Rhinolophus ferrumequinum: one gene and its partners. The protein of the gene in region 1 interacts with the protein of each later gene in a pairwise test. Links are inferred from orthologs where the notes say so. Each region holds a gene or a part of one and is shown in the gene's direction. Other genes may lie near its edges. The genes, in order: WDR6, G2E3 and PTPN3.

Evidence for each region.
Region 2: the proteins of WDR6 (region 1) and G2E3 interact in a two-hybrid assay, tested with the Homo sapiens proteins (2 studies listed by BioGRID and IntAct). The two-hybrid records come from large-scale screens. The link is inferred for Rhinolophus ferrumequinum from reciprocal best matches to the Homo sapiens genes WDR6 and G2E3.
Region 3: the proteins of WDR6 (region 1) and PTPN3 interact in binary tests that used the Homo sapiens proteins (3 or more experiments, as listed by UniProt). The two-hybrid records come from large-scale screens. The link is inferred for Rhinolophus ferrumequinum from reciprocal best matches to the Homo sapiens genes WDR6 and PTPN3.

Annotation. Positions count from the first base shown.
Region 1 is NC_046300.1:7,236,463-7,246,662, reverse strand, and holds the start of WDR6 (WD repeat-containing protein 6), read left to right. Parts: upstream 1-5,534; 5' UTR 5,535-5,629; coding exon 5,630-5,729; intron 5,730-8,483; exon of another isoform or gene 8,484-8,484; coding exon 8,485-10,200. Other genes in the region: P4HTM (transmembrane prolyl 4-hydroxylase), read left to right, coding at 1-97, 973-1,069, 2,465-2,627, 3,184-3,369, 4,014-4,104, 4,313-4,436, 4,909-5,129. UniProt on the Homo sapiens protein: Together with methyltransferase FTSJ1, methylates the 2'-O-ribose of nucleotides at position 34 of the tRNA anticodon loop of substrate tRNAs. Required for the correct positioning of the substrate tRNA for methylation.
Region 2 is NC_046289.1:79,632,689-79,642,929, forward strand, and holds the start of G2E3 (G2/M phase-specific E3 ubiquitin-protein ligase), read left to right. Parts: upstream 1-5,806; 5' UTR 5,807-5,942; intron 5,943-6,126; exon of another isoform or gene 6,127-6,198; intron 6,199-10,241. UniProt on the Homo sapiens protein: E3 ubiquitin-protein ligase which accepts ubiquitin from an E2 ubiquitin-conjugating enzyme in the form of a thioester and then directly transfers the ubiquitin to targeted substrates. Essential in early embryonic development to prevent apoptotic death.
Region 3 is NC_046295.1:62,474,928-62,484,454, reverse strand, and holds the start of PTPN3 (tyrosine-protein phosphatase non-receptor type 3), read left to right. Parts: upstream 1-5,791; 5' UTR 5,792-5,890; intron 5,891-6,211; exon of another isoform or gene 6,212-6,451; intron 6,452-9,527.

The DNA of each region.
Region 1 (10,200 bases):
AGAGTACGAGGAGGCAATGGGCACAATGCAGGTCAGCCAGCTGGACCTCTTCCAGCTGCTGGACCAGAACCGTGATGGTCGCCTGCAGCTCCGCGAGGTTGGGATCCTAGGGCCTGGAGTAGGCATAGCGGGGTGAGGAGCATGTGGGTGGGGAGTGCCCAGAATTATCTTTCTGGTGGCCACATCACTTGTCATGCTCAGGCTTGGCCCCAACAGTCAGATGACACCTCATATCAGCTTGGGCATGCCCAGGCCCACTGTCCCCTTCATTCCCCGGGGCGTTCCTTGCTGCCCCAGGAATCCCAGAGGCTAACAGAAGAATCTGCCTGGGAGGGATGGCATTTATTACCACATTTCCTGGGTGTTGTGCCATCTGTGACTGGATTCCTGGCTGCCATAGGGGGGAGCCCCGTGGAACTTTTCATGGTGGACGGGGTGGCAACTCTGAGGGGGAGTCTGCATCTCTCTCTCGGCATGCCTCTTACCCCCAGGCTTCTGAGACAGGTCTTGGCGAGGTGTGGGGTCCCTTGTCTATATCAAGTGCCCCACTGAGCCTGGTCTTCCCAAGGGGCGTGGTGCTCATGCCCTGGCCAGGCCGCTGCCGTTGCCTGTTTGCTCTTCACACCCAGGCCTTGGGCTCCCACAGCTCACCTGGGGTATCTGAGCGAGACACGGGCCTGGCCTTCACTGTGTCCTCCAACCAGTTGACAGTGCTCCCCACGGAGGCCCTAGTCCCAGCAGGGCTGGTTGTACCCGTGGCCCTCAGGGCTCTTGGCTGTCTTCCTGGTCTCCTCCCCAGATGCTGCCTGACCTCACCACCTACCCCCACTTCAGCTCAGGCTTGTCCTGTGCCGTCGCCCATGCCCTGTCACCTGAAACCTTAGCCCCACAGCAAGAACTGGGTAGCTGCCTGTACTCTGATGGCTCTCCATCATTGGGGCCACCCCACTGAGGGACCGTCTTGTGCTTTAGGTCCTGGCCCAGACTCGCCTGGGAAATGGACGGTGGATGACTCCGGAGAACATTCAGGAGATGTACACCGCGATCAAGGCCGACCCTGATGGTGACGGTGAGTGCATACCTCGCCACAATTCTGCTCCTGGGAGCCTTCTGTCCCCGTAGCCAGGTTGCCTCTATGCCCAGCTTCTAGAGTAGCCACAGGCAAGGAGTTGAGGAAATAGGCAGGAGGCAGGCCTTCCCATTCTCCTTAGTGACAGTCTAGAGGGCGGTTTTTGGAGACTCTTTTAATCTCATCAGGCAGAGTCTGAGGTACAGGAGGTAGAGTTGCTGGCTGGCAGAGGGCACAGTGGGAGAGCGAGAGCAAAGGGACAGAGAGGGACAGATTGAACTTGGCTGTTCACCTGCTCCATCTGCCTCTCTCCAGCCAGGCACAGGGTCCGCTCTAGCAGACACCGTCTCTGGTCTGAGCAAGGTTTCCCTTGCCTTCCTCTTGCCCACCTGGAGTCATTCTAACTGCTGGGTGTGGGTGTGGGCGGGGAAGCTCTCGTGCAAGTGCCCCCAACCTTTGACAATAACTCTCAGGAGGTTTCGGAGGTGTAGTCACCTCTGTCATGCCCAAGTTCTTGACCAAGTTAGGAAGATACAACAGTCAAATAGGACTTGGAAGAATGACCTTGTGGCTGGTGAACCCAGAGTGAAAAATCTGCCCGAGACCTGTGGCTAGAGCGGCATCATGCTGCTGTATTTCCCTACGGACAGAGCTGGTGACAGGCTCAAAGCCCTTGGGTGTCCCCCATCCTCAGAGAAATCTGGACAAAAGAGAGGAAGGTGTCTCCCTTGGGTTAGCCTGGATAATATGGAGCAAAGATATCAGCTCCTGTTCCAGAATCCCAAGAGGGGGGAGCCCCTGTTTTGTGGGTTGGGAAGGAATAGAGGGAGAGTGTTCTCACTGCGGAGCGTGGCTTTCTTTGCTAAGGTAATCTGGTAACCCAGCAGGCAGGACTGAACAGGTATGTTTCACTCAGGATGGGACCTGAGTCGTGAAGTCTTCTGGGGCCCAGCCCTAGCTTATACACTGTAGTGTGGAAGGCCCTAGACAAAAGCTGGCACTAACTGCTCTCTTTCTTCACCTTCTACAGGACCAAGGGTGGTCACCATGCTCTGTAGAGCCAGGCTGGAGGGCCAGGGGCAGTGCATGGCCTAGGGTCCAGGTCATGTAGCTCAAACTTCCTTTGGAGACCTTGCTCTGGCCAATCTAATAGGAGTTGGGCTTCTTCTGGCTGGGGGCCACTTCAGGGCTTAAAGTGAGGAAATGAACTTCTCTGGGTCTTCCTGTAGGGCCTGATGTGACAGAAGCCAGGTTCGTCTGACCCAGGAGTCCAGGTTGGGGGACAGGTGCACATGGCCCCCCAGTGCCTGAGGCCAGGGTAGGTAGGAAGGTGCAGCCTGCCACTGGCCTCCCCGCATGGGCCTGGTGGGCACTGATGGTGGGTGCCCCGTGCAGGAGTGCTGAGCCTGCAGGAGTTCTCCAACATGGACCTTCGGGACTTCCACAAGTACATGAGGAGACACAAGGCAGAGTCCAGCGAGCTGGTGCGGAACAGCCACCACACATGGCTCTACCAGGGGGAAGGTGCCCATCACGTCATGCGTGCCATCCGCCAGAGGTGAGCACCCGATGCTGTCCTCTCGGTGCAGCGGGGGAGACCATGCAGGGCGTCCACAGAAGGCCTTGGCTGGGGTGGAGAGGACAGAATTGATTAGCTAACTCAGGATGAAGTTCCACTTGTTAGACCAGGATTGGGACCCATCGAAAGACAGGCAATTAACAAAGGCAAATGAGCCCTAACTGTGGGCAAACAGTATACAGTTGGGATTAGAGATAGACTGAATGTCTATTTTCTGCTAATTAGAGACATGACCTCTTATCTCTGTCTACAGGACCCCCTGCTTCTGAGCATCCAGGGGTTTTAGATAACCTCCTTCCTGGGGGAGTGTCCCCCACCCAATTTAGTGGAAATCTCCTCTCTCCCACCCGGTGGGTGTCTCTAACATCCAGGGAGAAGGGCTCATTAAGAGTAACCTCTTCCTGCTCCTATAGGACCAGACTGGGGTGGCTTAAGGGGCTCCCAGGGGAGGTGGGCAGGGGCAGAGCTTGTGGCCAGCTCCTTCAGGGTGCCACCTTGCATGGGGATGCCCCGCTGAATGCCTGCTGCCCACCAGGGTGCTGCGCCTCACCCGCCTGTCACCTGAGATCGTGGAGCTCAGCGAGCCCCTGCAGGTGGTGCGGTACGGAGAGGGAGGCCACTACCATGCCCATGTGGACAGCGGGCCTGTGTACCCAGAGACCATCTGCTCCCACACCAAGCTAGTAGCCAATGAATCTGTACCCTTCGAGACCTCCTGCCGGCAAGTACCTCCCACCTGGGGGCTGCCTTCAACTCCCAGGCCAGGCACCGCCATGACACAGTCACAGCCCTGCCCTGTGGGCATGTCCCTTGGCAGGGGATACTCCTACCTCTGCCCCCCAGGTGGTTTACCAAGTGTCAGGAAAGGGGGTGGCCATCTTGTCTCAGCGGCCAGACCCCAGCTCTTTCTGCCCCCTTCTCGGGTATCGATCCTGCTTCCACGGCCGGAGGACTCAGTTTCTTCCTTTGAAGCTGTGTCCCCTGCCCCTGCCAAGGCATAGAGGCAGGTCTCTCCTCTATATGTGGCAGCTGTGACTCAGCTCCTTCTCGTCGCAGCCAGCTCTTCTCCATGATCTTGCTGCTTCTGCTAGCCTACCTTTCCCAGCGGGCCCTTGGTCAGGGCCACGTAATTTAATTAAGTGCACCTGTGATATCTGCCACAAAAAATACTGTGACACACAGGAAGAGACCAGGCTTGTGGGAAGAACGGGCTAGGGATATCTTGGCACTGACCTGCCCTGTGGTCACTGATCTCAGCCTGCCCCTCTGGCCTTTGGGAACCTGGGCAGCTTATCCTGCCTACAGGTAAAGCCCCTGGGAGCAGCCCCTGCTGGGGACATGCTCAATGGCCCCCCTGCCTTACAGCTACATGACAGTGCTGTTTTATTTGAACAACGTCACCGGTGGGGGAGAGACTGTCTTCCCTGTAGCAGACAACAGGACCTATGATGAAATGGTGAGCCAACCGGGCTGTTACTTGGGTGGGATGGCAGGGCCTTGGGCAAACATGGTACATTCATTCCCCTCCAGATCTGGAATGAGGGCCCCGGTGGTCCCCTGGGCACATCTGACTCATTTCCCTCTGGCTACCTTTGGCTATCTGGCCTTGGCTGCTGGCCAAACAATGGGGACAGCTTGAAAACCCACCACCCTGCTGCCCACAGAGCCTGATTCAGGATGATGTTGACCTCCGTGACACTCGGAGACACTGTGAAAAAGGGAACCTGCGTGTCAAGCCCCGGCAGGGCACAGCAGTCTTCTGGTACAACTACCTGCCAGATGGGCAAGGTGAGAGCCTGTGGCCAGGCCAGGGATGCCCTGAGGGAAGCTTTCCTTTATCCAGCTGGGACTGCCACCCTGGTGAGCTGTTTTTGGCTGCCCTACAAATGGCTTTCTGCCCCTAATGCCTCCCCAAAACCATCCTCAGTGGCTTCAGTGGCCTGTATCTGTGTAGTCTCCTGGGTTATCTGGACCCGTGATTCCCTGATGCCCCAGCCTTCCCACTTCACCAACCAAGGCTGGGAAGGGCTCTGGACAGCCTGGCAAGAAAGCTGGTTTCAGAGGGCCAGCGGTGTTGACAAGGCATTAGTTGGTGAGATGCTGAGCTCCCAAGGTGGCCTTGGGACCAGATGTTTGCCACGGAAGATGTGCACAGCTGGGCCTACCCTGTGTCCTTGGGCTGTATGAGGCCAAGCTCAAATCAGACCAGCCTAGCGGTCCTCTGGTCCCCTCCCTTGCTCACACCATCCTCCTCTCCTAGGTTGGGTGGGCGATGTGGACGACTACTCGCTGCACGGGGGCTGCTTGGTCACGCGAGGCACTAAGTGGATTGCCAACAACTGGATCAATGTGGACCCCAGCCGGGCGCGGCAGGCGCTGTTCCAACAAGAGATGGCGCGCCTGGCCCGCGAAGGTGGCGCGGACTCGCAGCCAGAGTGGACCCTGGACCGGGCCTACCGCGACGCGCGCGTGGAGCTCTGAGGGAAGGGTCAGCCCTGGCCTCCAGCGGCAGGTCGCCTGCCACCCAAGGTCGGCGGGCCCTGCAGTTCCCTTGTCCAGCTGTAGGCCAAAGGCCTGGCCGATGTCTCGCCCCATCCCCGCCTCCAGCCGCGATTAGGGCACAATTCCTATATTCGTGTTATTTATTGTGTACAGACCCATGCTGCCCAGTCAAATAAAACCACACAGCTTTGAGCCGCTGGGCTGAAAAGGTGAGGTCTGCGGAAGGTAGAGTGGGCAGGGGGATTGGGCCGCACCATGAGAGCTCGGCGAGTGTCACGTGAGGGGGAGGGGCGAGGGCGGCCCCGCCAATCGTTAGCTGGGTTGTGTGGGGCAAGGGGTCGTCATTGGACACCGGTAGCGGGCTCGGCTACCTGTTGCTAAGGGCGCTGTAGATGGGCAGCGCCGCGCGCGGGGAAGACCGGTCTCGCGAGAGCTCCTCTCTTCTCGGCGGTGGCAGCCGCAGCGGCTAGAGGACCGCCATGGACGCTCATGAGGACTACGTTTGGCCGCGGGCAACCTCGGAGCTTATACTCCTCCCGGTCACGGGTCTGGAGTGCGTGGGGGAACGGCTGCTGGCGGGTGAGGTTTGGCTTGAGGAGCGCGCTAGCGGAGAAGCAGCCGAGTGCTCGCATGGGCGGGGCATGGAACAAAGGGATGCCCCGAGGAGGAGGGCGGGCGACGGGGGGAGGTCCGTCCGGAGGTGGGACAGAGCCCTGGAGGTGGCGGGTATGAGACCCGACCTGAGGGGCCCAGGAGACAAAAACACCGATGTGGCTACCGAGGCCCTTCGCAACCTGCAGTTGAAGTGGAAAGGGCGGTGGGGCCGCGGGAAGGTGCAGGGACACGCAGTCGTTTTGGAAGCGAGGGAAGGGGAGGGAGAGAGGTGTGTGGCCCCTTCGATGAGTAGGGCGGGGTTTGGCCCTTCTGGAGGAGATGGGGCGGGGAGATTGCGGATGAGGATCCCCTCCCACCCAGGTTGGCGGGTCCGGGGGCCCCGGTGTGCCCTCGGAGGAGGGCAGGGCCTGGAAAGGCGGGGGTGTGGCTTCGGGGGTGGTTGAAGCTTTTCCCTGAAAGCGCGGTGATGAAGATCCTATGACGAGGATGGGGTCACAGGAAAGCCAGGATGAGACCTTTCTGAGTAGGCCAGTGCTTAGGCAGTGGAAGGCGAAGGCTGAAGCCCCTCCTGAGATGTTTGTGGAAATCCGACGTCCTTTCCCTTCCGAGGAGGGCCGGGTTGGGAAGCACAGGCTGGCAAAGACCTGGGGCCGGAGGCGGCAGAGCTCTGGGGAGCAGTGAGGCCCGACTGGAAGCCACTAGTGACTGATGCTGCTGCTGCAGAGTTTTATGTGTCCCAAGGCAGGGTGCTTCTCTCAAGCCTTGAGTGAGCTTCTACCAATCCCAAGAGGGGTAGGTGGGGGTGAGGAAGGATGGCCCAGTTTTGGTCTAATAAGGAGGCTCTGGGAACCCAGGGTTCCTACCATGAGCTAAATTCCTGAGGCTCCTGGAGGAGGGGATGCCTAGGCAGAAACCTATAGAACCACAAGAATGAACTAGGGGAAGAAAAGGGGTGTGTTCCTGGCAGAGGGTAAGCATGCCAAGGTCTTGAGGCTGAGAGAATTTGTCACTTTGGGGGAAAGGGAATTCCTGTGCTACTGGAGCAGGGGTGGGATCTGGAAGAGGCTGGAAAAATGAGCAGAGGCCAGACCATTTTAGCTCTAGATCTGACTTTATCCCTAAAGGTGGTGCGGAGGCCCCGTTGAAGGGTTTGAAGCAGGGGAATGACTTGGGAAATACAGGTTAGAAAGCTCTTCTAGTGAGTTCACCTGCTCCTGTGACTTCCCATCTGGTGGATTCGGACTTCGTACCTGTGGCATCTGTACCTTTATTGCCGTCATTTGAGGCCATGCAGCTATGTCTCCCTGACCCCCTCGGTAGCATTCTCTAGCCCATCCTTGAGCCCTTCATTTCTGGTTCCAGCCACAATAAGCTCTTGCTCACCTCAAGGACATCAAACTTGCTATATACTCTGTCAAGAAAGGTTCCCCCTACCCCCTAACTGCTTTTCCTCTGGCTTACCACTGCTCATCCGTGATTCCTCAGCCTAAAAGATGTGTCCTCAAGGTGTCATTCTTGGTACAGTTGACATTTTGGATCAGATGGTTCTTTGGGTGAGGGGCTGTCTGTGCAGTGTAGGATGTTTAGCAGCATCCTGGCCTCCACTCCTATATGCCAGTAACACAGCTCACAGTTGTGACAATCAAAAATGTCTCCAGACATTGCCAATATCTCCTGGAGGGATAATTGCCCCCATTGAGAACCACTGGAGTAGTTTATATTCCTAAAGCAACCTATATGGTTCTTTCCTGGAACCTACCAAAATTATAATGATGTAGTGCACATCTGTGGTATTGCTTAATTAGTCTGCCTCATCCACAGAGCAGGGTCTGCTTGTCTTATTCACTACGCCAGCGTACAGTTCATTGTTTGGTTCTTAACTGATGCCCAATGAATGTTGATTGAATGTCACGATTGAGACTGCTGACCACGTGGCAGCAGGAGGGTGGAGGGTGATGTCAGGTTAAGATGTGATGTCCAGGACCAATGTCACTGCTGGGGAGGATTTGCAAACTCTTTAGAAAATGAAATCCACAGAACTTGGAGACAGAGAAGATGTGGGAAGTTAAGAGAAGTAAGCTGTGGGCTTCCTGGTTTGGGGCTGGGGGAGAGGGAGTAATGGTCCCTGGGCTGAGGAGCGCCAGGAGAACTTGAGGATGAGCTAATAGCCTGGGAGGTGCCTGTGGGGCAGCCAGGAGGCCGCTGAGGGCCACAGGAGCCCCTGCCGCCAAAGTGGGGGCTGCCTCTCCTGGTTCTCCCCATTGAAATGGAGCACACTCCCATCTTCTGAGATATAGGGAAGAAGCTTCTGGAAGTCAGGAGGGGTTCTGCCGTGGTCCTAAGGGGGAAAGGTCCTCTTAGTGGGACAACCGCTCCCCTGGGGGAGGGAGGGTCAATTAGATTCATGTGCAGTTGGGGGCTAAGGACTGTGGGACTGAAGCTGAAAAGGTTCCTGTCTGGGTTCTCGGTGGGGTCAGGAGGAGGCTGTGGGTTTGAGGAATTCGTGGTTGAACTGAAAGTCGGGAGTGGCAGGATCGGAGCATCAGCACTAAAAGTGCAGCTGGGGCCGAGAGCAAGGATCTTTCAGGGTTCAAGCCTGTAGGATTGCGTGTCCTAACATTCACAGGCTGCATGTGCAGACTTTTCCCTGCTCCCTGGCTCTTCACGGCTCGTCAGGGTTAAGTGAGGACTTCTGATGTGGCTCTTTGCCTCCCTCTAGGTGAGGGGCCCGATGTCCTGGTGTACAGCTTGGATTTTGCTGGGCACCTGCGGATGATGAGGCGCGTGCAGAACCTGCTTGGCCACTATCTTATCCATGGATTCCGGGTGCGACCAGAACCCAATGGCAACCTTGACTCTGAGGCCATGGTGGCTGTGTTTGGGAGCAAGGGACTCCGAATTGTGAAACTTAGCTGGGGACAGGGCCGCTTCCGGGAGCTCTGGCGCTCGGGCTTGTGGAACATGTCTGACTGGATCTGGGATGCACGGTGGCTCGAGGGGAACATAGCGCTGGCCCTGGGCCACAACTCAGTGGTGCTGTATGACCCGGTGATAGGCTGCCTCCTGCAGGAGGTACCCTGCACAGACAGGTGTACCCTCTCCTCCGCCTGTCTGATCGGAGACACCTGGAAGGAGCTGACCGTAGTGGCGGGTGCTGTTTCCAACCAGCTCCTGGTCTGGTACCCAGCAACCGCATTAATGGACAGTAAACCTGTGGCCCCCGACCGTCGGGTCAGTGGGCATGTGGGTGTCATCTTCAGCATGTCATACCTGGAAAGCAAGGGCTTGTTGGCCACAGCTTCAGAAGACCGAAGTGTTCGCATCTGGAAGGTGGGTGACCTGCGGGTGCCCGGGGGTCGGGTACAGAATGTTGGGCACTGCTTTGGGCACAGTGCTCGTGTGTGGCAGGTGAAGCTGCTGGAGAACTACCTTGTCAGTGCAGGAGAGGACTGTGTCTGCCTGGTGTGGAGCCACGAGGGTGACATCCTCCAGGCGTTTCGGGGCCACCAGGGCCGTGGCATCCGGGCCTTAGCTGCCCATGAGAGGCAAGCCTGGGTGATCACCGGGGGCGATGACTCAGGCATCCGCCTGTGGCACCTGGTAGGGCGTGGGTACCCAGGTTCGGGGGTCTCGGCTCTCTGCTTTAAGTCCCGTAGCAGGCCAGGTGTCCTCAAGGCGGTGACACTGGCTGGCTCCTGGCGAGTACTGGCAGTGACTGATGCAGGGGCCCTGTACCTGTATGACCTCGAGGTCAAGTGCTGGGAGCAACTGCTAGAGGACAAGCGCTTCCAGTCTTACTGCCTCCTGGAGGCAGCCCCTGGGCCTGAGGGCTTCGGACTGTGCGCCATGGCCAATGGGGAGGGTCGTGTCAAGGTTGTGCCCATCAATACTCCGACTGCAGCTGTGGACCTGACCCTGTTCCAAGGGAAGGTGTACAGCGTGAGCTGGGCCCTGCGTGGCTACGAGGAGCTTCTGTTGCTGGCCTCGGGCCCTGGGGGCGTGGTGGCATGCCTGGAGATCTCAGCTGCACCCTCGGGCAAGGCCATCTTTGTCAAGGAACGTTGCCGGTACCTGCTGCCTCCAAGCAAGCAGAGGTGGCACACATGCAGTGCCTTCCTACCTCCCGGTGACTTCCTGGTGTGCGGGGACCGCCGGGGCTCTGTGTTGCTGTTCCCCTCCAGACCAGCTCTGCTCAAGGATCTTGGGGTGGGAGGCAAGGCTGTGATTGGTAGCGGAGCACCCCGAGTGGGCAGTGGCAGTGGTGGGGACGAGGACGCCTCAGCTGAGTGGGGCCCTGTGTCTACCCTCCCTTCTCTGCATGGGAAGCAGGGTGTGACCTCGGTCACCTGCCATGGTGGCTACGTGTACAGCACAGGACGCGATGGTGCCTACTACCAGCTCTTGGTGCGATGTGGTCAACTCCAGCCAGTCCTAA
Region 2 (10,241 bases), on another chromosome or scaffold:
GTACCTCCTTTGTAAGGCAGTAGGTTGACATTAGAGTTAAGTCAATAATGATAATAATAAAAGATGTTAAAGAAAGAATTGCAAAAGCAAGACCAGGAAACATAAGTGACACTTCCCATCTACCAACAGTCCTGGCCCCCTCCATTATCCCCACACACACCCATGCTTTGCTTCTAGGCTAGGTATCCTATTATAAGAATCTGAGGTGACCTCTGATTAGACTTTTTGAATGGTTCCTTCTAGAAGTACACTTCAAGTTTTGTTTCAAGATCTCAGGGATGGTGACTCATCAGGGAAGCATATAGGTTAGGTGACCTTAGGTACCAGGCAGAATATTTGATAAGGAATGCTTTAAGGGCAAAAGCTAGCAATTTATGCTCAAGGTGGCCAGATATTCTGGGAGCTATGTGGGTATAAGAAAGGGAGGCCAGGGTCTGCCAAAAGTATGGGTGAAATATGTTCTTCAAGTGTGGATAGGAGATGAGGATCAAGATAATCTGGCTCATATGAAAGGCAGAAAGGGTTACCAGAAATTCCCTATGGCTAACCATATTGGAGGAATGAGAGACTGTAAAGGACAATTCAGTCCAACAGTGTGTACCGATTCTAGGCAAGTGCTAATGGAAGAATGAGTGCCATGCTACAGGGCCAGATTTATCAGCATTACTATATAGCTGAATATTGTTACTTTTCTAATTAAATATGAAGTCTGACAATTAAGTTCACGAACTCATCCTAGAAAAAGGGCTACATACCTCATTGCTGAATATCACTATGGTCACCTTTGAAGTACTCCCCTTGGGCAGCTATGCACCAGACACCAGTGCCTAGTCCATCCTTCAAAGCAATTCTGGAACTCTTTTTCTGGAATGGCCTTCCGAGCTGTTGTTGTATTACCCTTGATGTCCTGAATTTCATCAAAATGTCTTCTTTTCAATATTTCCTTTATCTTCAGGTAAAGAAAGAAGTCATTGGGGCCAGATCAGCTGAGTAGAGAGGGTGTTCCAATACAGTCATTTGTTTACTGGCTAAAAACTCCCAGACAGACAGTGCTGTGTGAGCTGGTGCATTGTCATGATGCAAGAACCATGAATTGTTGACGAAAAGTTCAGGTCGTCTAACTTTTTCACGCAGCCTTTTCAGCACTTCCAAATAGTCAACTTGGTTAACTGTTTGTCCAGTTGGTACAAATGCATAATGAGTAGTCCCTCTGATGTCAAAAAAGATTAGCAATATCATTGCAACAAGTTGGCGAACTTAATTGTCAGAGCTCGTAATATCATTCTTCATTTTCATTTGTATGTTTTAGGGGGTTCAATAGCCCTAACATGGGAGGCAGCAGCTAACAGGAACAAAGCGGCATAGCTTTGTGAAGTCTCCTAAATGTACCCCCAACTTAGTCAGTAACTTCCTCCTGATAGACAGTTATTTCTAATTAGGAGTGCTTCATAATGCAGTAGCATGTTTATTTCTGGAAGGAGAATTCCAAACTTGAGAAGATTTGATCAAATAATTACTTTGCAAAAGAGTTGTAGCAGTGTATGTCCCCAGTAGATGAGAATGTATATTTTACAACCAAACCATCCCAGTATTGGATGTTATGAATTGTTTTAATTTTTACCAATCCAAAAAAGGAAATTTAGTTTCTGATAGTGTGAAAGTGAGATTGAGTATTTTTAAATAGTCCTTTCTCATTTCCTATTCAACGAAGTTTTCTTTTGTCCATTTTTATTATTTTTCAAAAAATAAAATTACACAAACTGTTTACATTAGCATTGTTAACCTTGTATTATATGTATTACAAATATTTTTTCACTGTCTCTCATTTATATGTTGATGTTTTATGGTGAACCCTGCCAGATAAATACTTTGCACTTTAACATAGTCCTATGTATTTGTTAGGGAAGCAAAATTTTTTCCTCTACCCTCTTATTTTCAGTACTTGGAGTACTGCAAATTAAACTGACAAAAGATAGATTGATAGAGAAAAGGTGTAAAAATTTTCTTTTTAATTTTACATGCACGGGTCCACAGTAAAGAAGTGAAAACCCAAAGAAGTAGTTGGGCTTAAGAGCTTACATACCAATTTAACAAATGGCAAAAAATTGAGAAGTGACTAGACAAAGGAAGAAAGGTTTGGGCTTCTATGAGCAATAAATTGTGGAAAAGTAAGTATAGGGGGGAAAATAATGGTAGATAAGGGTTATTTAGTAAGACTTTTTAGTGTAGACTCCTTGGTTCCATCTTCATCTCTAGTGATAAAGGGTGTTCTCCACAACTTGGTACAGAATAGAGAAGGCGGAACACCTTTAGAGAGGGAAATTTTTGCCCTGCTTTTAGTTAGATAGGGGAAGGGAAGAGAGTTCTTCCTGTGTCTGCTTTTCTCTCAATTGTCTTCAACTCCCAATAACTTTTATGGCAAAGTGTCATACTTTGGGGTGGCATAGTTATCTATTATTTTATGGCTTCTAAGGTTCCTCCCTTCTTTAAGAAGTCTTTTCTAACCTAAAGTCGCAGTTATTCTTCTAATTTGTCTCCCAATACACTTTTATTATATTTTTATATTTCAATCTATAATCCTTCTAGAATTTATTTTGGCATATGGTGCAAGATAGAGGCCTAACTTTGTATCTTCCATATAGATAGATAGTCAGTGACCGTCTTTTCTTGTTAATTTATAAATGAAACATCTTTTTCCTATTAAACTGAAATGCCACCTTTATTATTATATATTAATGATATATATAAATTATTATATATTATTATATATTAATTATTAATATATTAATATCCCACATATAACTGAATTTTCCTGGATTCTCTATGTATTTGTCTTTTTTATGCTAAAAGAATTTTTTCTCTACTACTCTTTGATCATAGTAGCTTTGTGGTAAGTGTTGCTCTCTACTAAGACAAATGATCTCCTCCCAGACTCTGATAATATTTTTCTAAAATATCTTAATTCTTATATCTACCATTTAAAAACATTGAAATCACTTATGTTCTCCAATTGCACTTTTTAAAAATATTAAGGCCTATAGTTTTCTTTAAATTTATTTCTAGGCATTTTGTTGTTATCGCCACTCATGTTGGTTGCGGTAAAAATCTTTCAGAGTAGATTCTAGGAGCCCTTCTGCCAAAACACTTTGTATTGACTCTTGTATGTAAGCTGATGACCATTGATCTCAAAAGTGATTTTGATTTGTTTTCTGCTGTAGATGGGTGAATAGGAGGAGGAAAGCAGGGAAGAGAGGTTACTTTAGCTATGGTTAAAATTTTCAACAGATTTAGTTCTCAACTAGTTCAAAATTCTAAGGGGGTGGTCATCAGAAACTAAATAACATCCTTTGTCCTTTTTTTCTTCAGTTTTTGCAGCTTTTATTAAGTGTAATACTCATCAATGTATTTCCGTAATTGAAAAAAAATGTATTAGCTATCAGAATACATATTCTGATGGCCAGATTTTTTAGATTTAAATGTGCTCTGTTGTGCATATTTTCTTTAAAAACCTCTTAAGTCTGTGTTTACTCAGTCTCCTTGATTTAGTCAGTGGGTACCTGTATTTATTGCACATCTTCTTTGTTTATGAAATGCTGTAGCATTACTTGAATACTGATTGTATGGAAATTTACCTATAGTCACTCTGAGGGGAAAAAGGAGTAACTGTTTAAATAGTACAAATAACTTGACAGTCCACTCAATAAACACCAGCCTTAGGCAATTTATACATTTAAGCCCAGCTAATTCTATGGGGGGAAAAAAAGTCAATGACTTTAAGGGGTTTTCCACTGCGTTGAAAAATTAATCTCATTGGTCTGACTGATGGCAGGGCTGCTGGGTGATTAACTTTGTCAATATTTTGGAGGAAGAAACTGAGGAAATCATTAAGGGTCCTAAAGAAGTACTGACTGAGGAAAACTCAGAGAACAAATATTTAAAAACTTGCCTATATAGGTCATATATATATATATATATATATATATATATATATATATATATATATACATACACATACATATATACACACACACACACACACAAACACACACACACACACATATGTATATTATTTTATAGATATATAGTAATTTTAGATTGTTTTGTGGGCTTTCCAAGGGCAATTTGAGTATATTTAACTTTTGCTTGCAGATTAATTTAAGAATTTAATGTCTGTAAAGAATGAAACTTAATGGGGGGCAGATGCCAAGAATTATGAAAAACACAGGAAAAAAAAAATATATATGTATGTATATATACATACATATATATATACATGTGTATGACATAGTTTCTGCCTACAAGGAACTTGAACAATATATTTAATGGGGCCATATTAAAAATGTGGGATATTAAACAATGTAACCTATCATGAAGACAACATGTATGGTCAAACCATCACTATATAATTGCTGAAAGAAAGAATGAATGAATGAATGAATGGACGGTAGACTATTCAAACATTATACATTGTACATTTAAACCTGATTCTGTATTAGAATATATTCAATTTCTAACAATCTTGTTTTAAAAACAATTAAAGCTGCAAGAGTAAAACATGCTTATTAAAAAATTCAACTAGTTATAATGTGTTAAAAAATTCTCTTCCCATCCTCATTTACCAATCTGACTCACAGAGATAGCTTTACAATGTATTCATCCAGAAACTTTGCCTGCCATATACACACACATGTTTTTAAAGGATACTGTATGTAGTCCTTCTAAAGCTGATTTTTTTCATTATTTCATTTGACTACTTACTGATACACTTCATTATTTTTAGTGCCTGACTAGTGCCAGTATATCAGACTCTAAAGTCAGAAACTTACTTAATCATTTTCTTATTGATAGACACTCAGGTTATTTCTTATTTTCCACTGTTAAAAACAGTTCATCAGTTAATAGCTTTAGACCTCCTTGTGTCAGATTATCTGTGAAAGAAATTCCCAGAAATCTAGTGAATCCTTCAAACTGCAGTTTTGACGGAGGCTGAAGTGTTCTATCATGACTTTATTTGAACTGATCAGGTTAGGTAAATCTATGCTATTAGGTATGAGGATGAACTGGTGGCAATGTCAAGATCAGAAGCTGGAGACATTTTGGATCGAGGATACACTGTGCAATCCTTGATTAAATGACACCGTTGTCCCAAGAGTCTCACAGGACAACTACATAATCATCTTATAAAATGGTCTCTAATTAGGGGAGGGGGGAAAATTTGTCGCTTTCTAACACTTAGCCTCAAATATTTTATTTGGAACCAGGACTGGTCCTGCTACTTGTGGTTGGAATAAGGTTGATTAGCACAACCTTGGCTTTTTGTCTTCCTCAAACACGGGAGGAAAAAGAGGTTAAAAGTCCTGCCTCTGCCGGGATAGAACTAAGCAGACCCAGGGAAACTCCATAAGGGGGTTGTTGTTTTTCTTGCTGTTGCTGTTGTTTACGCGAGGGTAAGGGAAGGGGTACAAACGTCCGGGCTCCAGTAGTGCTTTTATTCTCTCCCTATTTGAAGAAATGAAAACTTCAGCACGTCTCTGTCCATTTCAAAAACAAGAGGATCCGTTCCAAAGACACCAGGCAGAACCACCGACCCCCCTCGCCGGGACTTCCTTTTTTTTTCTGTGGATCTACGTAGGGAGCGAGACAAAAGAAACTGAAGCGACACGGTAGAGCCACCGCAAGTCGCTCCGCGAGAGGAGCCGCGGCGCGCCGGGTTCTTCCCACCTCCCGCGTCGCCGCGGGCTCCGCCTCTCCAGGGGCGGGGCTACGTGCTACTTCCGGGTCGCGGACGGAAGTGGACGAATTTGAATCGTGCTGGCGGTTGTATGAGGATGCTCGCGGTTGGCCTCGCGCAAGAACCAAGTAGTGATACGGCGGTTCTGGAGCTTCTGCCCCGCCTGCCTCAGTGAGTGGACGGGGAACGGGAAACGACAGAATATTCCGAGGTGAGAAGCGGGACCATCGCATGGGAAAGGGGGTCGGGAGGCGGGCCAGTGTAGCCGGGGCCTGGGACTGCCTTGGGGGTTTGGGGAGCGGGGACAGTGTGGGGTCTTGGAGAAGTCGGGGCGCCGGAGAACGTTTCCCCGGCCTGCGCTCCCGATGGCTTGGCGTACCTAGAGCAACTCAGTGTACTGTGAAATCGGAAGCCCCGCACGCCCAAAATTGAGCTGGTTTAAACGGTTGACTTTCTGGTAATAGCAGGTTAGTATTTTTGCCGGTTCGGCTGGAATATTGAAGCTTCAACAGTAGTTACCTAGTTGCGAAGGCGTTGCCATAGGTAAAAGAATCTTTCTTTATTAAAGATGGAAGGTTGGGGACAGGTTTAGAATGAGGAGATGCTCTGTGGCTCTGAGTTCCTCCTAAGAGGGAGACCCGTAGAAGTCTATTACTTGGGCCCGCAGGGAAATGACAGTCTTTGAAATGCCTGCTGGGAATTTAAACTGAAATCTGAGTATCCTTTGTATTTAAAACCCGGATATTTTTCGTTCACGGTTGACATTTTTCACGTACCCGAGACTCTTGCTCATTTAAACTGGCCACAGTAACAGCGGTCATTCACAAGGTTTGTTCACAATAAGAATAAGAATAAGGTTTAGTTCCACAGACCTACCTTTTCACCGCCTTCCTTCATTGGCCAGTTGGGTTATTGTGGAGTCATTTTGGAAGTACTCTAGTATTTACAGCTTAGGGTTTTCTTTTCTTTGTTTTAGTTTTTTGGTGTTTTTGGTTTTTGTTTTATTTATTTTTAATGATGAACTACCTAAAATATCAAACTCTAGCGCCGTAGCAAAGTCATGCCTTCTGGAATAGTTAATGGTGTACCCTAAATGTAAACTATAAATGAGTACTTTAAATGTGTAGAAATGTGCCCTATTGAAAACTGTCAGGTTAATTTTGTGTTGCTTTATAGGAACAGATATTTTGTTTCTTTTAAGATTTTAACACCAGGGTATCCTACCATATAAATGTATAAACATCTTTTTAAAAGTAGGACTTAGTAATATTCAGAATAGACGTTCCTTCATCCAATGCTGGCTACTCCCACTCTCCTCCTATCTCTGCTAATGAACGTTTGTTTCATTATTAGCCAGTAAAAATACAGCTTTCAACTTTCATTATTTATAATTGTTGAAATTTAAAATTTTGTGTAAGATTGCATTAAAGAAATTAGATATACTATCCTAAAGATTGCAGACAATTGCTGCTCATTTTATATAAGCTACCAGTAAGTGGTAATTAAAAAAAAAAAAAGTCTCTGCATTTTAACCTGTTTCTTTTCCTTACCTGGACTCTTTTCATTGAGTTTTTGTTCTATCTACCTAAGTCAGCGAGTTTCAAATTTTATTTCGTACACATTACCTTGAAGGATTTATTAAGCTCTGATTCCTGCACTTCAAATCTCAGAGTGGGTCTGGAAGATGGGGTTGAGGAATCTGTAAATTTAACTGGGAAGTTAGAAAATTTGGCCAGTTTTCTGACTTGATCTTTCTTAGAGAGGCTTTATAATATATAGGTTAAGGGCATGGAACTGGTGTCAAATTGCCTGGGTTTGAATTCCATATCTTCTATCTTGGTGAATGTTCTATGTAAGCTTGAGAAGAATGTATTCTGCTATTGTTGGATGAAGTAGTCCATTATATCCAATTGGTTGATGATGTTGAGTTCAACTATGTCCTTACTGATTTTTTGCCTGCTGAATCTCTCCATTTTTGGTGGAGGGATGTTGAAGTCTACAATTGTGATAGTGGATTTATCTGTTTCTCTTTTCAATTCTATTTTGCCTCGCAGAGTTACGTAACACCCTGTTGTTCGGCACATACATGTTAAGTATTGTTATATCTTCTTGGAGAGTTGACCCCTCTGTCATTATTTATTTCTGATAAAGTTTCCTTACTTTGAATTCTGCTCTGTCTGAAGTTGATATAGATACTCTTGTTTTCTTTTGGTTAGTGTTAGCATGGAATGTTTTTCTCCATCCATTTACTTGTAATTTGTATTTAAAGTGGGTTGCTTGTAGACAGCATATGATTGGGTCTTATTTTTTGATCCACTCTAACAAATCAGTCTTTTAATTGGTACATTTAGACCATTGACATCAAAGTGATTATTGATATAGTCAGTTTAAGATCTACCATATTTGTTACACTTTTCTATTTGTTGCCCTTGTTCTTTGTTTCTGTTTTTGTCTCCACTCTTTCTGCCTTTAGTGATTTTTTTTTTTTTGATTTTTTGATTTTTTCATTGGGGAAGGGGAACAGGACTTTATTGGGGAACAGTGTGTACTTCCAGGATTTTTTCCAAGTCAAGTTGTCCCCTCAATCTTAGTTGTGGAAGGCACAGCTGAGCTCCAGGTCCAGTTGCTATTGCTAGTTGCAGGGGGCGCAGCCCACCATCCCTTGGGGGAGTCGAACTGGCAACCTTGTGGTTGAGAGGACGCGCTCCAACCAACTGAGCCATCCGGGATCTCCTTTAGTGATTTTTAATTGAGCAATTTGTATGATTATATTTTCTCTCAGTTTTTAGGATACCAGTTATATTTTTATTTTACTTTTTTTTTTTAGTGGTTGCTCTACAGTGCAATATACATGTACAACTAATATAATAAAATACATTGTAGCTGTTGTTAGTTTGAACAAACTATTGTCCATTAGCTCAGTTAAGAATAAGAAGAATAAAGGTTCTTATTTTACCTACACTTATTCCTTATTTGGTGTTCTTTCTTTATATGTGTAGATTTGAATTTCTGACCTTTGTTATTTTCCTTGTCTCTCAAGAACTTTTAACATTTCTTGCAAGGTAGGTCTACCGGCAACGAATTTCCTCAATTTTTGTCTGAAAAAGTTTTTCTCTTTCACCTTTTTTTTTTAAGTAAATTTTATTGGGGAACAGTGTGTTTCTCCAAGGCCCATCAGCTCCAAGTCATTGTCCTTCAATCCAGTTGTGGAGGGCACAGCTCAGCTCCAAGTCCAGTTGCTGTTTTCATTCTTAGTTGCAGGGGCGCAGCCCACCATCCCATGTGGGAATTGAACTGGCAACCTTGTTAAGAGCTCTTGCTCTAACCAACTGAGCCATCTGGCTGTCCCTCTCCTTCACTTTTGAAGGATAATTTCAAAAGATACAGAAAAATAGGTTGGTATTTTTTTCTTTAAGTACTATAAATGTTTCACATCACTGTCTTTTTGCTGCATGGTTACTGAGCAGAAGTTGGATGTAATTTCTACCTTTGTTCTTCTGTAGATAAGGAGTCCCCCTTCCCCCCGCACCCCCCTACCCTGGCTTCTTTCAGTATTTTTAAATTTATCTTTGTTTTTCTGAAGTTTAAAACAAACCTAGGTATAGTTTTGGGGCATTTATACTGCTTGGTGTTCTCTGAACTTCCTGGATCTGTGGTTTGGTGTTTGGCATTAATTAATTAGTCCTTAAGTTTTTATTGTGTCAGGTATTTCTTCTGTTCCTTTCTCTTTTTTTCTTTCTGGTATTTCCAAAATGTGTATGTTACACCTTTTGTAATTACCCCACAGTATTTGGATATTCTGTTCTGGTTTTTGTTTGTTTGTTTGTTTTTTATCTTTTTTCTCTGCTTTTCAGTTTTAAAGTTTCTATTAAGATATCTTCAAGCCCCAATTCTTTGTCCAGTCTACTAATAATCCCATCAGATACATTTCTTTATTTCTATTACAGTGTTTATCATCTCTCTAGCATTTACTTTTGGTGCATTCTTAGGATTTTTATCTATTTATTAGGTTGGTGCAAAGGTAATTGCAGTTTTTGCAATTATTTTTAACCTTTTAAACCGCGATTACTTTTGCACCGAACTAATACATTGCCCATCTGTCCTTGTATACTGTCTGCTTTATCCATTAGAGCCCTTAGTGTATTAATCATAGTTGTTTCAAATTCCGGGTTTGATAATTCCAACATTCCTGCCATGTCTGGTTCGGATGCTTGCTCTGCCTTTTCACATTGTGCTTTCTGCCATTTTGTATGCCTTGTAAGTTTTTCTTGATAGCCAGACATGATGTACTCAGTAAAAGAAATTGCTATAAATAGGCCATTAATAAAAATCATATGTTCATATCGATAGATGCAAAAAAAGAATTTGACAAGATACAACATTCATTTGTGCTTAAAACACTCAATAAAGTAGGTATAGAAGGAAAGTACATCAACATAATAACGGCTTTGTATGCATGACAAGCCCACAGCTAACATCATACTTAATAGTGAAATGTTGAAAACTTTTC
Region 3 (9,527 bases), on another chromosome or scaffold:
CTTTCAGGGAAGGCCATTGCTTGAATAGAATCCACCACAGTACAGGATGGCAATTTTCTTTCTTAGCATTTCTCAGCATTTCTCTTTGCTTCTAAAGCCACAGCCATCTGTTGATGGAAGCATCCTCAATGCTTTGAGTTTCCAGAGCAGGATCTCAAAGTGCCCGACTTACATTTCTGGTTTTCATGCAGCAGCATATCTGTGTGGTGGTCTGTGGGTCTGCCATGATCCATTTGGTCCTCTGTCAGATCTATAGCATGTGTGCCAGGAGTTTTTGAAACACAGGTCCATGTACCCCTGAGGTTTCACTTAAGCAACCCTGAAGGTCTGAGCACCCTCGGAGATGCTTGTTTAATGTTATGATAATGTTAAAAATATATTAATAATCTGGATGGTCTGGCTGACGCCCTTATAACAGAGGGCTGCTACATGATTTCAGTCCCCTTATTCAAATCTGTGGTAACAGTCATCATTGAGTGACCATCTAAAAGGGCAGCATTTAACTCTTTGATGTGTTGTCAAGCACATTTGGCAGCCATTAGGTTGACTTGGCTTCCATCCAGCTCAGAGGGAAAGGCTGAGTCCTTCCTGGGCTGACAGTGGGCGGGAGGTAGGCGGGAGGAGTTCAGGTTTTGGCTCCTGGTACCTCTTTGGCTTCACTTCATGCAGCTTTCCTGCTTGCCCCACCAGCCCCCTTCCTCTAGACATGCTCCCTTAAGGGCCTTTGAACTGGCTGATCCCACTGCCCAGAAGAGTCTTGCTCCAGATTTCTGCATGAATAGCAGCTCCCTCATCTCCTTCAGGTCTCTGCTGAAGTGTTTGCTTAAGTGATTAAATTTCTCAATCCTATTGAAAATTGCAACTCCCCACCCCGCCTCCATCATTCTCCGTGTCACCTTTAACCCCGGTTTCTGAACATATATATGATTCACTTATTTATAATGTTTGTTGTTCAGTGTCTGACTTGCCCTATTAGAATGCATGCCCACAAGAGCAGAGATTAGTGTTTGTTTTGTTCACTGATGTCTCCTACGCACTTAAGAGCACTGCCTGACACACAGTAGGTGCTTAATAAATATCTGATGAATGAATGAATCGACGACAATCACCTCATCTCTGTTCTTGTATTCATGCTAAATTTGTTCATCAGTTTTACAGACAAAACTCTTTGGCAGTAATACTTTGAAATCGGAAGACTTTGTGGTTTTTTTAATGGATAAAACTTTAGGCTTAAAAATCTGTTTCTCAAAGTGAGATCCATGAAATCCTGGAGTCCCAGGAATACAGGTTGAGGGAATGAGGGTCCCGTGCTGGACTAACACTTTTCTACAGGCTCCTGACTTGACTACTGACCACTGCTTCCTCTCTCTCCCTCCTGGGCCAGGAGCAGACATCCTGTCGCCATCTGCCACTGCTGGACAGGCAGGGCGGGCTTCACCCTCTGTGAGGGGTGAATTTCTGTACAGTTCCAGAGTAGCTATTTTCCCTTTCTTTACATCATCTTCTTCAGTTTGCCGACTTTTAAGTTTGCTTCATTCTTCCTGATAATAAAAGAAACACAGTGTAAAATAAGATTTAGGGAACTATAAAGACATACAAAGAAATAGATACCCAAAGACTTGAAATTCTCCTAATTTATAAAAGATACCTTCTGTATCTTGTTTCTCTGCCTGTAAATGCAATACTCAGAGCCACCATTAATATTTTGGTGCAGTTCTTTCTGGTCTTTTTTCTGTGAATCTTATTAAGTTGAAACATAGGACATTACTGATGTTTAACCATTGTGGACCTACAAAATGGCAGTGTTATATGGTTTTTAACCGAGCAATTCACCCAGTTGAAGCTATACTATGCTAACTTTACATTGAATTCTTTTCACTTGTCATTATAACAGCACCACATATTTAGGGATTCTTGGGCCCTTCCTGAGCTTGCATTAACAGCACAAATAATTGATGAGCATTAGCATCTCAGCTGGGAGCCCTGCCCTGTAAATCATTCAGAGAGGTCCACGTGGTACCCAGACTTCCTGAGTCTTGATGTGAATGACAATCCTCAGTGATTCTTCCAGGAAACTCTTCCTATAAATGCCCCCAGCCAATTGCTTGCATGCAGCTCTTGGCACCAGAATTTCTGTCCAAATGGCAGCTTCTGGGAACGCTGCTAATAACTGTGCAGTTGCTCATCTCTTGTTCCTCCTCACTTTTATCAATCTGGCCCATTACCAGTAATGCATATTTGGTTTGCAGAATTTCTTCCTCTCCAATGAAATGACCCTCTTTGACTTTTTGTGTTTGTTGTTGTTGTAATTTAGTGATTTTGGGGCCAGTTACAGTCTCTTTAAAAAAAGAGAGCTGACTTTTTTTTTTTTAATTTATCAATAGTAGGAAGGCTACTTTTAGAGCCCTGGCTTTCTCTCTGCCAACATCATCAAGGACCAGCAGCTATGTATCTTTTCATCACAGCAAAGTCCTGAGGAGTCCATGGACCACATGGTTCCATTATGTTGAGAGTCTGCCTCCAAAATGATTGCCACGGACAGTAATCTGTGTGGGTCCTCTCTGGATTGGTCTCATTATCTGAGACTTGGTACAGCTCTATTCCCAATGGGGCCTCTATTTACTCAAGATTTGGCTGGGTTCATTCAATACACAGACTAAGAAGATTATATGTCCATCCAAAAGCCTCATTTGCATAAGGTTTATGACGTAAGATTAACTGTCATTGCTGATAATAACATCATTTCACTCCAGGTGCAACAGCTTAAAAGGATGGACTTTAACATTTTGGCCCCAAGAATAAAACAGTGACAGGAGACCAGAATATTTAAAGGTAATCTGTGGCCTACAAACACATCAAAGGGTAGAGAAAATATGGCAAAAAAGACACAAAATGGAATAATATACGTTTTTTTTTTTAATGATCAATACATGGTAAGCTACTATACAGAGAGGCAGTATTATAAAACCTAACACCCTGGCTTTGAGGTCAGGCCAACCTGTGTTCAGATCCTGACCCTGTTTCTTACCAGCTGTAAGCTGAACAGCTCCTGAATGTTTCCTGTTCTGTAAAACTGAGCTGAAAACACCCACTCTATAAGGATTAAAGACAGCAGATGAGTAAAACACTGATTACACTTGAGCTTGATAATAGTGGTTATTATTGTTGTTATTATTATTAGACTTATACAAAACTTTAAGAATTTTTAATTTGATCTTTTAAATGTTTATGATTGCAAACAGAACATTGTGACATTAATAAATACATTTAAAAAGAAAAAACAATCCCACTACCTCCTAATCAGACTATTACATATTTCCATATCTCCTTGTAAGTCCTGGTGAATGTGGAGACAAAATTTTTACACAGTGCATTTGTGTTTTCAGTTTTTTATCACTTAACAATAGGGGAAAACATCGTATTTCCCCTATTGCAGCATGGTCTTATTTAGCGTAAAATAGTTATTTCCATAAATATACCATAACCTAATTAATCATTCCTCCATTTTCAACATTTATTTCCAGTTTTGGAGATATTCTTTCCTTTTGTTCCTGTTTCTGTTATGGTAATTTGAAATGCACAATTTTAGATATATTTGGTCTTTTTCCTTAGACGTACCGATATATTTTAGCCCTAATTTGAGAACGCTGTTTAAGCTAATGATTTGTCTGTGAGGAAAGAAAAGGTAGTTTCAACCTAGGTCCTTGTGGAAGGCAAATTATGAGAACTCCAAGAATTCACATGTCCACTAATCTCAATTTCCTCATCTCAGCACTTATAAAACTAGTATAAGGCTAACGGATAATTGAGGTAGGCACTCAAGAAATGGATCTTTAAAGTGTACTAAATGTTCACGTTCTTGATTTAATTCAATCCCGTCCAGATTCAACCGGTAGGTATTCGTATTTGAGGCACAGAGAGGGTAAGTTGCTTGCCCTGTGTCACACAGCGGCTGGAAGAGGACAGAGAATGCCTTTTGCAGACTCTGAATTCCCAGCTTTCCCACTGAGCTTTGAAAAAAAAAGTCCCCAGTCGCATCTAGCCACCCCCCCCCCCATCTAAGAGGGGTTCCGTGGTGTTCTGCAGGGGTAGTCCTCAGCTTGTCCAGGAGGATCCACCTCCCGGGCACACCGGCCCCGCCCAGCTCTGAGCATGCCCAGTGAGCACCCCGCCCGTCCCAATGGTGCTGGCTGAATGCCACAGCTCCAGGTTTTTCCGACGACCAGAGGTCGGGGCGGGGCGGGGCGCGGAGGAGGTCCAGTTCCTAGGTCTCCCTGGCTGCGTAGGAATTCCCCCGACGCCACCACACTCTGGCGGCGCCAGCCGCTGTGGCTCTTCCCCGGGATGGGCGACACGGGGACAGGGACCGAAGTGGGGTACCAGGTGCTGCTGGCAGCCGCCCTATGGCTGTAGGCCTACTGGTCCCCTGGATCTCAAGCATTCGGGTCTAGACAGGATGGTTCCAGCCATCGATCCATCGCTCCATCCCTTCATCCCTTCATTCACATATTCATTCAACAAATCATTTTTGAGCACCTACTGTGTGCCAGGCGCTGTTGTAGGGGCTGGGACACTGCAGCCAAGACAGGCAAGACTACAGTCCCAGAGCTGAAAATCCGGAGATGAATACACAATAAGTAAGCAAATCAGATACACAATAAGTAAGCAAATCAGAAGAAAAGTCAGTTACTGGCCTCATCCCCTGCTACTGTGCCTTCCTTGCCATTTCCTAAGCGGTCCTGTGCATTAGAGTATTTGCACTGGCTATTCCCTCTTTAGGGAATGCTCTTTCCAATTTATCCTGCGTGGCTGAAATGTTACCTTCTTAATGTCACCCCATCTGACCACCTCATTGAAAATTGTACTCCCTTCACCCTCAAGTCTCCTTACCCTATTCTTTTTCCCTCATAGAACGTATCACCTCCCAATACACTATATAGCTTGCTTACTTGCATGTTTATTGTCTGTTGCCTTGCCTCTCTTCTTCCAAACTCCATGGGGGGAGGGGTGGATGCGGGGATGGTCTATTTGTTCACACGTGAAGATCCTGAGTAGATGATCAATAATTATTTGTTGAAGGAATTAATGGATAGTGGTAAATGTGAAGAAAATAAAGCGAGGACATGAAGTGTCCAGGGGCAGGGGGCAAATTTAGTAAGGTGGTAAGGGAAGGCCTCTTGCAGAAGGGGGACAGCCACATGAAAAGCTGAGCGAAGACGGCCCACAGAGAGGCAAAAGTATGTGAAGGCTGGCCAAGTTCTGAGTGGTGGTGGACAGAAAGGTGTTAATGGGGGAGAAGGGGCTGCAAGAAGGCAGGTGTGAGATGAGGTGGAATAGGAAAGCAGGAGCACAGATCAAGTAGGGGGCCCCCAAATCTTGGGAAAGTTTAAGCCTGGAAGCTTACTAGTGGAAGGGGATAAGCACTGAACTGGGGATAAGCACAGCAGGACCCCAGCAAAACCACGGACCCTCTGGCCAGTCTCCTCATTTTGAAGATTTGTTGAGCGCCGACTGCTTGACATTCACAGGTATGAGATCACTGAGGGCCGGGCACATAGTAGGTGCCCAATAAATGGTTATGGAAGGAATGACTGCGTGCACGCGCGAGGGGACTCGGGGTTGCCCAGAGCCCGGCAGGAGAGCCCCGGTGGTCCTGCGAGGCGCGTCCCGGCAAGCAGCCCCGGGCGGGGGCGGGGGCGCCCTGTAGAGCGGCCCGGGCTCCCGCCCCCCGCCCCGCGCGCGGGCCCGTCGCGGCCAGCCCGGCCGGCGGGAGCCGCCCGCGGGCGGCACTGGGCATGCTCAGACGGCGGCCAGGTCGCGCCGCGAGCGAGCTTCCGCGCCGCCCGCACGCGCGACGTACCTGGGCGCCCCGCGCCCCCGGATGCTGCAGGTACGGACCGGCGTGACCCCAGCGGGTCGGGGGCAGGGTGCGGGGTGATCAAGGGCCGGGGTCGCTCTCGGCGCCGCCCCGCCCCCACCCGTCCCCAGGAGCGTGGCGAACGCGCGGGCGGGCTGGCGGACGCCGCGGCCCCGGGGTCCCGGTGCCACGTCGGGGCAGGGAGGGGGCGCCCCTCCTGCGCTCACCTGGCGGGGTCGGGGCGGGAGGGAACAGGCCGGGCCGGGTGGGGCTCGCTCCGGAGCAGGCTCCGGGACGCGGCGGCGGCGGCGGCGGCGGCGGCGGCAGCGAGGCGTGGGCGTGCGCTCCGACCCGGGCTGGGGCGGACGCGACCCGCGGAGCTAGCGCAGCCCGTGACTCCGGAGGGCCCAGCGCCACCGCGACCCAGGTCCTCGGCGCCGAGGGGGCGCACTGCCCGCGGGGCGGCCAGAGCTTCTCGGCTCCCAGGGCGAATCCGCCTCTCGGTTTTCAAAGATGGCATTTCCTGGGCCTGGCACGAACTCCAGTGCCAATAAATCCTCCCTGTTCTGCGGGCGATATGGAATGATTTATCAGGTACCTGCGGTGAGACAGCTGCAGTAGGGGAGTGTATGTGGGTGCTCCCTGCCCCCCGGAAATTCCCATTTTCAGCAACCTAAAGTTACTGAGAAGTTGCTATTGCCTTAAAAATTCATGGGAAGTTGAGACAACTTGACACCTGGGTTTTCCGAGGTGGTGGAAAGAGCTTGTGACTTGGAAACTGGAGACCTCCGATCAACTTGGGCACCCCCTTAGGCAGCTGGTGACCTTGGGCGAGTTGTTTAACTTCTCTGATGCTCAATTTCCTCCCCTGCAAACTACCGGTAATAATGCCCACCTTACTGGATTGTTGGGTGGATTAAGTGGGATAAATTATGTGGAGGTGTTTGGCACCGTGCCCGGCAGAAAGCAGGCCAGCAGTTGGCGTGATGTGAATTTAATTCGTTTAGAGACCCTCGTGACTCCCATTTCACCAGGAAATTAGAATTACGAAAGCATCTTCAGGGCCTAGTGGCAGAATGACAGACCCTGTCCTTGTGCCCTGGAGAACTTCTACCGAAGTCAAGGGCTTTGGAAAAACAATTTAGCCGAATTGTAATTGGAGAGCATCTTCTTTAAAAGCAGTTTTATACATTCAGAAACTCCAGAAGTTGGCAGTTCAGCTTTCCTTACAAAAGAGCTGTTTTGTGTGATGATCCATCTTGCAAATGTTTAAGCAGATGGTGCTTTTTGAAAGTAAAACCTGGTTAGGAAGGTTTCTGTTTCAAAAAGCTTCTAGACCCAACTTTAAGTGATTGTTTAGACCAGGGTTTCTTAATCTCATGGCTGGGATTAGTTAATTCTTTGTTGTAGGGCCTATCCTATACATTGGAAGATATTTAGCAGCATCCGTGGTCTCTACCCAGTAGATTCCAGTAACCATCCCTTTCCCTCTTTCAGTTGAACCAACCAAAAATGCCTCCAGACATGGCCAGGTGTTCTCGGGGGGTCCAAATATCCCAAATATCTTTAGAACCTCTGCTGCTTTCTGTCATTAGCTTATCCACGTGGTCTGAGAGTTTCATCTTCTGTTTGTACTGTAGTAACTGACTTTTGTATAGCTTTATAAAACTGCACAGAGACCATCCACATGCATCAACTCATTTAATTTTTACAACTCCCTGTTGAGGCTGGTGCTATTCCCATCTTACAGGTGAAATCGAGGCTTTGAGCAGTCGATTACACATTATGTGGTATAGCTGCCTCACAACTCAGGTGTTCTGGTTCCACGGGCAGGTCTTTTTCTTCTGTATCAAGCTTGCCCTTTATGGTGTGGAGACTTTCAAATAGATGACTTTCCTGATGATTAAATCAAGATGTAAAATAGGCTGGAAGCTGGAAACCTTTCTGAGATTGACTAGTTGAACGTTAACAATAGTAGGCTATTATCTGACAGAGAGTAGGTCGTTCTAGTTAAATATTCTAGTTTATAGTGAGCGCCCATAAATCCCACGTACAGTTAATGGAATACCAATTTGCAGAGAATTAGAGTAGAATAAAACGTGCCTAATACTCTATATTGATCCTGAGCTGTCTCTGGTGACTTGCCATCTCCTAAAACCGACTCTTATATGCAAATTAGACATTAGCTGGAGAATGTAAAAGGTCAAGTTACTGAAGGCATTTCAGAGTAGCTCAGGCATTCTGTTCTGTATGGCAGTGCAGTGCTGGGCATGGGGGATGCAGAGTTGGCCAGTGGACCCCAATGAGCTTCACCAGGGTGCCTGGGGGAACTTCTCTGCCTGGTCAGGCCAGACACAATAGAAGGCTTCAGGGACAGCTTGGGGCAGGAAACAGAACCTAAGTTAACACATAGTCAGATTCAGGGTCCCACACTGCTTCACCCCTCCTGTGTCTGAGCCCTCCTTTCTGCATTTTGTCATAGAGATGTATGTATCCTGGTAGCTTTTAACTTCTGGTCAGAGACAAATCTTATCCCTGGAAGAAGTTGGGGTTCCAGGCTGGTAAATGGTCTGAGGAGATTGATTGTTGACTGTGAACTAGAAGGTTTCACATACATTGTTTCATTTCAGTGCCCTCCCTCTCCCTCTCTTGCAGTTAAGGAAACTGAGCTAGCAAAGGTAGTGTGGGGCCAGGAGCAACAGGGATGAATTGTGACCTTGTGAACCTCAGGTCCAGGCCCACGGAGGGATTCTGTTTTCTAAAATAGACAATGTCCATCAGAGGGGCTTGGCTTTGGGGATTGGAGGGAACAGGACATGTGGCACCCTACCTCCTCCTAACCCTCAGCGTGGTGGCAGGCTGGGAAGGGACCAGCAATGTGTGGTCCCTCCCTCTCTATCTAGGAGAGTGCCTGTTGACCGTAATCCCAGTGCTGACCTTCCTTCCACCAGACAGTGGTTCCTGGACAGCAGGGCCGACCCCCATTCTTCTCTTCCCAGGGTCTGTTGCAGGAGCTGGAATGCCTAAGGCACTTACCCTGACGGTGACAGGCTGGTGGGGGCGGGGCAGCCTGCTGGTGTTCTTCCCAAGCCTCCGCTCTTCTCACCGACTCTAATAGGGATGGGACAGGACCTGGTCAGTGTCCACACTGCTCTGGTCTGGGTCTCAGAAACTACAGGCTCTGATGTCACAGGTGTCGCCTTTCGTCTGCCTTAGGGGGCACTAAAGGGAGTACTTGGTAGGCCCCTGGCTGCAATCAGATCAGGTCATGGATTCCAAGACCCACAGATCTTGCATCACACAACTTCTGGTTGTGCCTCCAGTGAAGACCAGCTGTGAGCACAGATTTAACAGCAAATTCAGACAATTACTGAGTCTATACCATGTGTCCAGCACTAGGGTTATGGAGATGAAATCTGAACACATCTTGGAAGGATTCATGGCAGAATTAGGAAGACAGTGACATTTGCGTGTGTGTGAGTGTGTGCGATCTGTCCATCTATCATCTGATAACTGCTTTAAAAGACGCTAAAGCCAGATGCAAGAGAGACCGGTGGAGGCAACCACTCATTCTGATGGGCATCAAGGAATGTCGTAGGGAGTAGCTGGCATTTGAATTCAGCCTTGAAGGTAGAAAAAGATGGCATTCAGGGGCAGACAGAACAGCAGG